Drosophila melanogaster: one gene and its partner. The protein of the gene in region 1 interacts with the protein of each later gene in a pairwise test. Each region holds a gene or a part of one and is shown in the gene's direction. Other genes may lie near its edges.

Evidence for each region. Proteins that work in one complex are often made in the same cells at the same time.
Region 2: the proteins of Rbp9 (region 1) and CG12692 interact in a two-hybrid assay, tested with the Drosophila melanogaster proteins (one large-scale study listed by BioGRID).

The regions. Positions count from the first base shown.
Region 1 is NT_033779.5:2,952,656-2,956,411, forward strand, and holds the start of Rbp9 (RNA-binding protein 9), read left to right. Parts: upstream 1-2,106; 5' UTR 2,107-2,658; intron 2,659-2,724; 5' UTR 2,725-2,852; intron 2,853-3,756.
Region 2 is NC_004354.4:4,300,305-4,304,060, reverse strand, and holds the start of CG12692 (uncharacterized protein), read left to right. Parts: upstream 1-1,714; 5' UTR 1,715-1,796; intron 1,797-1,979; 5' UTR 1,980-1,984; coding exon 1,985-2,260; intron 2,261-2,361; coding exon 2,362-3,747; 3' UTR 3,748-3,756.

The DNA.
Region 1 (3,756 bases):
AGTCTGTAAGCTCAAAAACGAAAACCCAACCAGCCCACCCCCCCCCCCCCCCGCCCACCCTACCCCCTTTTCCTGTTACCCAAAAACATAAACATTTTAGTTGAATTTTGTTTTCGTATGCGTACAGTAAGGAAGATGAACGGCTTTTTAAATTGTTTAAGTTTTAGTTAATTTTACTTTGCAGCCTTGGTAAAGAAAAATGTTAGCAAATATAATTATACATATTATGGCATATATAAAGAAAAGTTATAGTTATAAATTCTTTATAATATTTCTATATGAATTATGTTTAACGCAACTATTTTATTAATTTTAAATTAATTTTTAAAAAGCAATCACAACACGTTTTTAGAACAAAATACATGAATGAAAACAATATATATTTATATTAATATATATTTCAAATATATACACGCAATTGTATTTCTCTTTTGGTTTTATTTCTTTCAACCCATCCATAAAACCACCTCATCCACAGTCTATTCCCAACATAATTCATAAATTCATAATGGGTGCCTCAAAACTCTCACACAGACGCAACAACTAATAGTGCATTAGTAGACTTAAACGAGTTAAAAATCAATCGAAATAGACTTGCCCTCGAAATAGTTATATAAGCTGTACATATAGCCGCCAGTATACAAGAAATATATTTTTAAATGCCAAAAAGTGAGCGCTGTAAACTACTTTAAGCCAACTTCAATCAGCAGAATTTGAAAATGAGTGGGGATTGGGATAGGATGGTACGATGGTAGGATGGTAGGATTCTGGAATACATTCATATATTGACCGAGTTGAGCAGCCAGCATTTTCTTGTTGACTTTTATTTTGGCATGTACGAAATCGAAACTACGAAAATCAAAGCAAAAATGTAACGAAAAACAAAACGGAAAGCAAAACAAAGTAAGAAAGAATATTAAATTAATATTAGTAATGGTTCTGGGGAAACAAGGCATTCGCTCGCATTCGACAAATGAAACCGAAAACAAACATTTAAATTGTAGACAAATTTTAAGTTATCACTAAAATGACGAGTGCCGAATGCCGATGGAGAATTTGCGCAACTTTATTGTGCAGTGCAACTACATAAGTGTAATTATTATAAATTGGTACACATGCATACATATGTATTGTTAATTATTAAAACGATGTAAATAATACAATTACGTAGGCGGGAAGACACGGACACAAACATGCATATAATTAAAGTAAGCATAATTACATGCCTAACTATAAATAACTATATATTGGTATATATAAAGATATATAATATATATATATTTTTATATATATACACGATGAATTAAACTAAACAACGTAGAAATCATAGTTAAATTTTTTCGAAGTGACAAGATTAACGTGCAGCAATAAGCAACCGACAAGAACAACAACAACAACCACAACAACAACAAAAACAAACGAAACGCGCCTAGTAATAGTTAATAATTCTATTTTGTTAAGCGTTATTGTAGTGAAACGAAACAAAAGAAAACCAAACAAAAACAAAAACAAAACCGAACCGACAGATCGAACAGCAAAACCAACAGAATTAAGTTTTAAGCTGGACTTTGGAACGTGGAAAGCGAGTAGAAAACCAAAATGAATGCAAAACATGTTGTTCATTGACAAAGCTAAAAGTAAATATATATTTTGTACAAATATAATTAAATTCAGCCGCAGCTAAAACCAAGTACACTTATTAAAGTTTAAGCAACAACAGAACAACAACCAATTTAATATGCAATTACCGTAACAGTAGTTGATAAATCGAACGAATAAAACATCAAAAATTGTAACATTTACATAACTGCCTTTTGTGTCTTGCTTTTTTTTAACACTATGGATGGTTGTAATAACGGAAGGAGATGCTTTAAAAATTCAGTGTGACCAGGCAAGGTTATAAATTCATGTCCATCTGTTTCAAACAAAAGCTGGAAATTCTTAACTCCTGTTCCTTAGGGGAACACTTGAAGCCGAATGCAATTAAAACGATTTCTTATCTTGATAATGCTCATGACGAAAGGAAGTTTCGATCAATACGAGAAAAACTTTTTGCATGATTAATCGATCAGTGCTGGTAAGTCGCCAAAGTAGTCTGTCAGTGTTAGCAACTCAACGTGTTACTTGCTGTGCTTTCGACAGCGTGGTGTCGATTCTTCGAATTCATCGTTTACAACTTCATCATAAGGAATGCAAAATCAAAGCGATTTTGTGGGTGAGATCCCCAGGTACACTCGCAACAAGAGAAGGCAATATCAGCGCCAACGACGTAAGGCACATCCGCAAATTCCAGGGGTATTAACAGGAGGACCAGAGCCAGAGAAAGTCAACAATTGTCAGAGAAAGAGACCCATCAAGGGCCACGTGTATGACTCCACCAGCGAGGAGGATATGACCATCAAACGTAAGCATACAGACGCCTCGTGGTACAAGGTTCAAGTTAAATGCGAGAATGTGTCCCCGAACATCGAGGAGAAGCACGGCAACAAGATCAAGCAGCCTTCCTTAGCGTGGAACAACAACAGGAAGCCCAATAAAGGGGATCTACCACAACCACCGCTATCTTGGCTTTATCCCAACCAATCTAGGGGCTTTTATGACAACCAAAGCTGGAACTCTGGCGGCTCACGTCAGAATCAGTCGCAGTGGGAAGCACCAGTAAGCTGAAAATCAATTATTCATTTAAATAATTAAATTAACCGAATTTTATATGCACATCCGCAGAGGCAAGAACATTCATCTTCAGCTCAAGGCCGTAGTGCCAGGAACCCATATCTGAACCCTATTCAGGAATCCTGCAATGGGCGTTATATTATTGAACATCAATGGAACACGACCATTATCCATCACAAGTAAGGTAAGGCAACAAGAATGAATTACATAAAAACCTATTCGCTAAAGAAGATTTAACACAGCCACTTATTGTACACAAATCTATAGTATGTCATTTATAACTACATCGTGGGGATTTTCCCGATTTCCCAAACACAGGACATTTTCATGAAAGGGCCTTACATGTCTGATCAGTTAGGTAAGGGTTAAAAGCGCAACATTTTGAGATGCATTGGGCCCCAACACCTATGCAAAGTGAGTGCATGCATGTGGGTTGCTGTTATTGTGATGGTGTGCAAGCAGCAACAAAACAAACCGCATATAAATAAGGAGAGCGAGGTATTGTTGCATACTTGTAGGCAGCGGGATGGGGGTGGAGCTGTTCTGTTCCATCCGCTCGCAAAGTTCAATGGTCTTTTGACACAAATGATGATGATGTCAAGTTGAGCTCGTCCTACGCTCCTGCCTTGCTCTCTCTCTCTCTGATGCTCTTTCTAGCTTGCGCTCTTGGGTTTAAAGCCCCTCTGGCACCTTCCCTTCAGTCAGCAGCCGTTGTTGTTGTTGCTTAAGTGTTTGTTTGGGTGCCGTGCTGGCTCTCTCAGCTCCAACAACAGCAATGCGGCCGGCTTACGAGCCCCGGCTCTCTTCGCCTCTTTTGGAGCTCGCTCTTTGCCGAACGGAGAACCTACCGCAATTCGTTTCGTGTTCACGGCTGCATTTCCTTGTTTATGTTTTGCGAAGCCAAATGTAGGGTACATCGGTTAAGTGCCGAGCCAGGAGAAAGAGAGAGCGAGCGAACGAGTACCGTTATGTTGCCGGAGCTGTTGCAGGCTGCGCAACTTGCGGCTGCAGCTTTTTATTATTTGCCTTCTTCTTCGCGACCGTTACTTCTCGCATGGTACAATGGTGCAACTGTGCCCAAGC
Region 2 (3,756 bases), on another chromosome or scaffold:
AATCTGTTGGCTGGAATATCGGTGTGGCTGGGGCCAAAGTGCCAGGCAGGTACAGGTCTCCTGCCTAAAATTATGCAATGCCCGGGCTTTAAAGTAGATTACACGAAATTTGCACACGAAGGCACAGAAGCCCACGACGGGCATTAATCACGAAAGAAACTCCTGCCCCGTGACCAGTGTGCCCCATTCTCGAAATCCTCGAAATCCTCCTATTGTGTGTGTTTTTTAAATAGTTGGACCACGCCCACTGGCGGATGAGGGGGTGGGGGGGTGGGGCATTGGGGTTAAAAGGGGGTTAGAGGAGCTGGAGGCAACAGCAGCAAATAAATTGCCAACGTGCCGGAATGCAACGAAAACCCTTTGGGTTTGTTAGATTTTTCCATATTGCTTCCTTTGGCTCCAGCAGTTCCATTAGACTCCTGAAACTGGTTATGCAATCCGCTCTCCCACGAGCAAAGAAAATAATAGAACAACAGCACACACACACACACACACACACACAAAGCCGGAAAATTAGCATAATTTTTCAATTGTCCTTTGGGCACGTGGCGCAGGCCTTAAATATTTTACTTTGCGCACTATTTTCAAGAATATTTCATCGAACTCGTACAATGAGCTTTTGCCAAAAAATAATTATTTTTTCCCATTAACAGCATACCATATCGCATTTCTTGCCGTCGTCCTTAATATTTCCTGTGCTTCAGATATTTTTTTTTTTATTTATATATATATTTTTTTTATGTCCGCCCCACAAGCCCGATTTTTCCGTGTGCCCACGGCGTTTTTCGCTTTTCCCACTCGCCAAATATTTTTCTTGAGCTCAAAGTGAAATGGCATAAATCATGTTCAATATTATTTCGCTTTTTACCCGCTCCGTTTTCGTTATCCGGTTCGTATTGCGGTGGCCCTCGGGTTAAATGATTTCATTTTGCGGCGAGATGACAACCCTGGCCGGAGCTGAAAAGCAGCACTTGTTGCCCTGTTGATTTGATTTTATTGCCCAGCAAGAAAAGTATTGAATGCGAACAAAATGGGTAAGGTGGAAAGGTGGCCGACGTCGCGGCGAGATCAGGTTAGGCAAACATCCTTTTGGCAAAAGTGGGCGGTAAATGTCCTGGCCTGGCAAGAAAATTGCTTTTGCGGTCGGTTCTCGAGGCTTCGCTCGTAATTACCAAAAATGCCGCAGGGCAACTCCCGGCTTCCTTCTTCCTGTTCCTGGCACTTGGCACTTGGCACTTGGCATTACCAAATTACCAAATTACCAAATAGCTGGCATCTAAGTAATACAACTAATTTGTGTTAAAATTCCATTAGCTGGCCGAGAAATATGCTCAGCAGGAGTGATTGGCTTTCGGGCGGGCATGGAATGGCCAAAATCAATCACCGAATCCCATCACGCACAGTGATGATTAGTCGAAAAATTTAGCTAGCCCTGCGGCAACCCTGCTAATCCTGCGACGTTAAATCGATTTGGAGAATGAGGAGAATGAAATGTCCACATCAGCGATTTTGCATATTTGTTGCAAGGATCGCGTACTAAACAATCTCTATACCCGATTTAGTATTTATTTTATTTATTTTTTGTTTATAAATAATTAAATCCGAACATTGTTAGCCAAACCCAGGCATGCCATGCTTTTAATGTCAGTTTTTGGATGACAGTCGGTTTTTGGTGATCGGACATTGTTTCAGTCAGTTTGCACAACCAGACTGAGAAGAACACTACTTTTAAAATTGTGTAGAATTCTTACAAGTTTTGTATATATATATATTTTACTGCACTCGTTTGTGAAACGGTAAGTGAAATGGCGTGCATAATCGAATTCCGCAATGCCTCGCGGCGTGTGCTTTTCAAAACCGGATATTAATTGTGCGCACTCTTAAGAAAATAATTGGAAATGAAATTTTGTGCGTTCTACGCGTTAATAATTTACTTCTTTTATTTTGTGTTTTTATTTTTTTTTCGATTGCCGCTAAAGAAAATATGGGGCACATCGATGGCACAAATAAACTGAAAGGCTTCGCTCGTCCCGCATTCACCAGCGAACTGGCCTTCAATAGCGTGGTGCCATGGAGCAATGAGATCCATCGACGCCACGGTGAGGCCATCCATCCGTGCAACGATGCGATGGACTTCCATGCGTCGGTGTTTAGAAGTCTGGGTGCCGTGACGCGTGTGTGCATTGGCACATCAACATTTTGGTGTACTTCGTCACTTTTGCAATTTCATAGCAACTATTTTGATCGCAACATTTGTCCGGTAAATAAGAGAACACATTTCATCGATATCGTTTATCGATGATATTGTTAATTGCGCGATTTGTATATGTCGATAACTTAGCACTGTACTCTGTACCTTAGGTGAATTGCTTTCGCGAGGGCACCGACCTTATTGCCGTGGGCTTTCGAGCTGCCTACACTTGGATGAGACTGCAGGAGCCACTGGATCCATTCATGCAACCAGATAAACTAATGACGCTCCTGCACACAGCCGTCCAGCTGGAGATGCCGGCACTGAAAGCATTGTGCTATGAACAACTGTGCACCGATCGCTTTCGCGAGGAGACCGCCTTTCAGGTTTACTTGAGGGCTTTGAAATATCCGCAACTCGAGGAGCTGCGCAAACTGATGCTGCAAAGGATCGGTGCTGCTTTTCTGGCCGTGCTGGGTGGTGATGATTTTCAGCGAATGCCTCTCGAGGATGTGATTACCATGCTGCAGCAGGACTCATTGGGTGTCAATTCGGAAATGGAGGTGCTTGTGGCCATTATAAGATGGCTGAATTGTCAATCGAAATGCATTGACCAGGCGACGCCACTATTGATGGACTGCCTTCGGCTGACACTCTTACCACTGCCAATTTTGAAAAGATTTTGGCGCTGTGCCATGGCACCACCGGTGCCCGACGAGCCCTTTATGAACGCTGTTCGTGGCAATATTCACATTCGTGAGAGGATCAGCTGTGCAATTACTGTGGTCCAAATGCACCATTTGCATACAAGTCGTCGTGAGTTTCTCGACTTCTGTCGCTCCAAGGGCTTGCTGGTCGATATGCCCAGGGAGTGGATATACGATGAGCAGTGCCATTATCATTTGCCGCGACCTGGTGGTCCCTACTCTCATCTTATCTGTGTTCATGTCATTTCGAATTATGCGATACAAAGGGCTCAGCGTCTAATGGAATCCTCAAAGCGTTGGCCCAGACGTGTTAATACATACATGCCGCCGTCCGATGATCTACAGACCATCAATGAGCTGCCCGAGGACAAGGATGAGGAGGCGCAGGTGTCAGTAGAGCCATCAGCGCCAGAAATGTCCGAAGGTCTACCGCAGCCCGAAGAGGATGATTGTTTCATTGCTCGCCTCTTTCGTGGCACACTATTGCGACTGAACGAAGTGATGGCCGCGCAGGACAGAAATATTGAGCGACGCATTGACAATCTTATACGTGATGGTACATTAAGGCCCAGGTTTATACCCAACGCTATGTCGAGATTTGTATTGCCAACAGCAATGACTTGTGCTGCACAGGAAGATCTTCAAGAAGATCTCTTTCTCCAAACCGATTTCTATTCGAGCAACCTGGACGCCATCGATGCGTATTTTTTTCTTCATGTCTGTCGAATGAGGCAGTTGGTCCAGCCGAAAGTTGTAGTTCCTATCGAGAAATCGTCCGAGGAGAGTGTGCGTCCCATGGAGAGCTATGTGCTCGAAACCGACCAAATGATCAAAGTCCTAGGCTTTTAAATGTATATG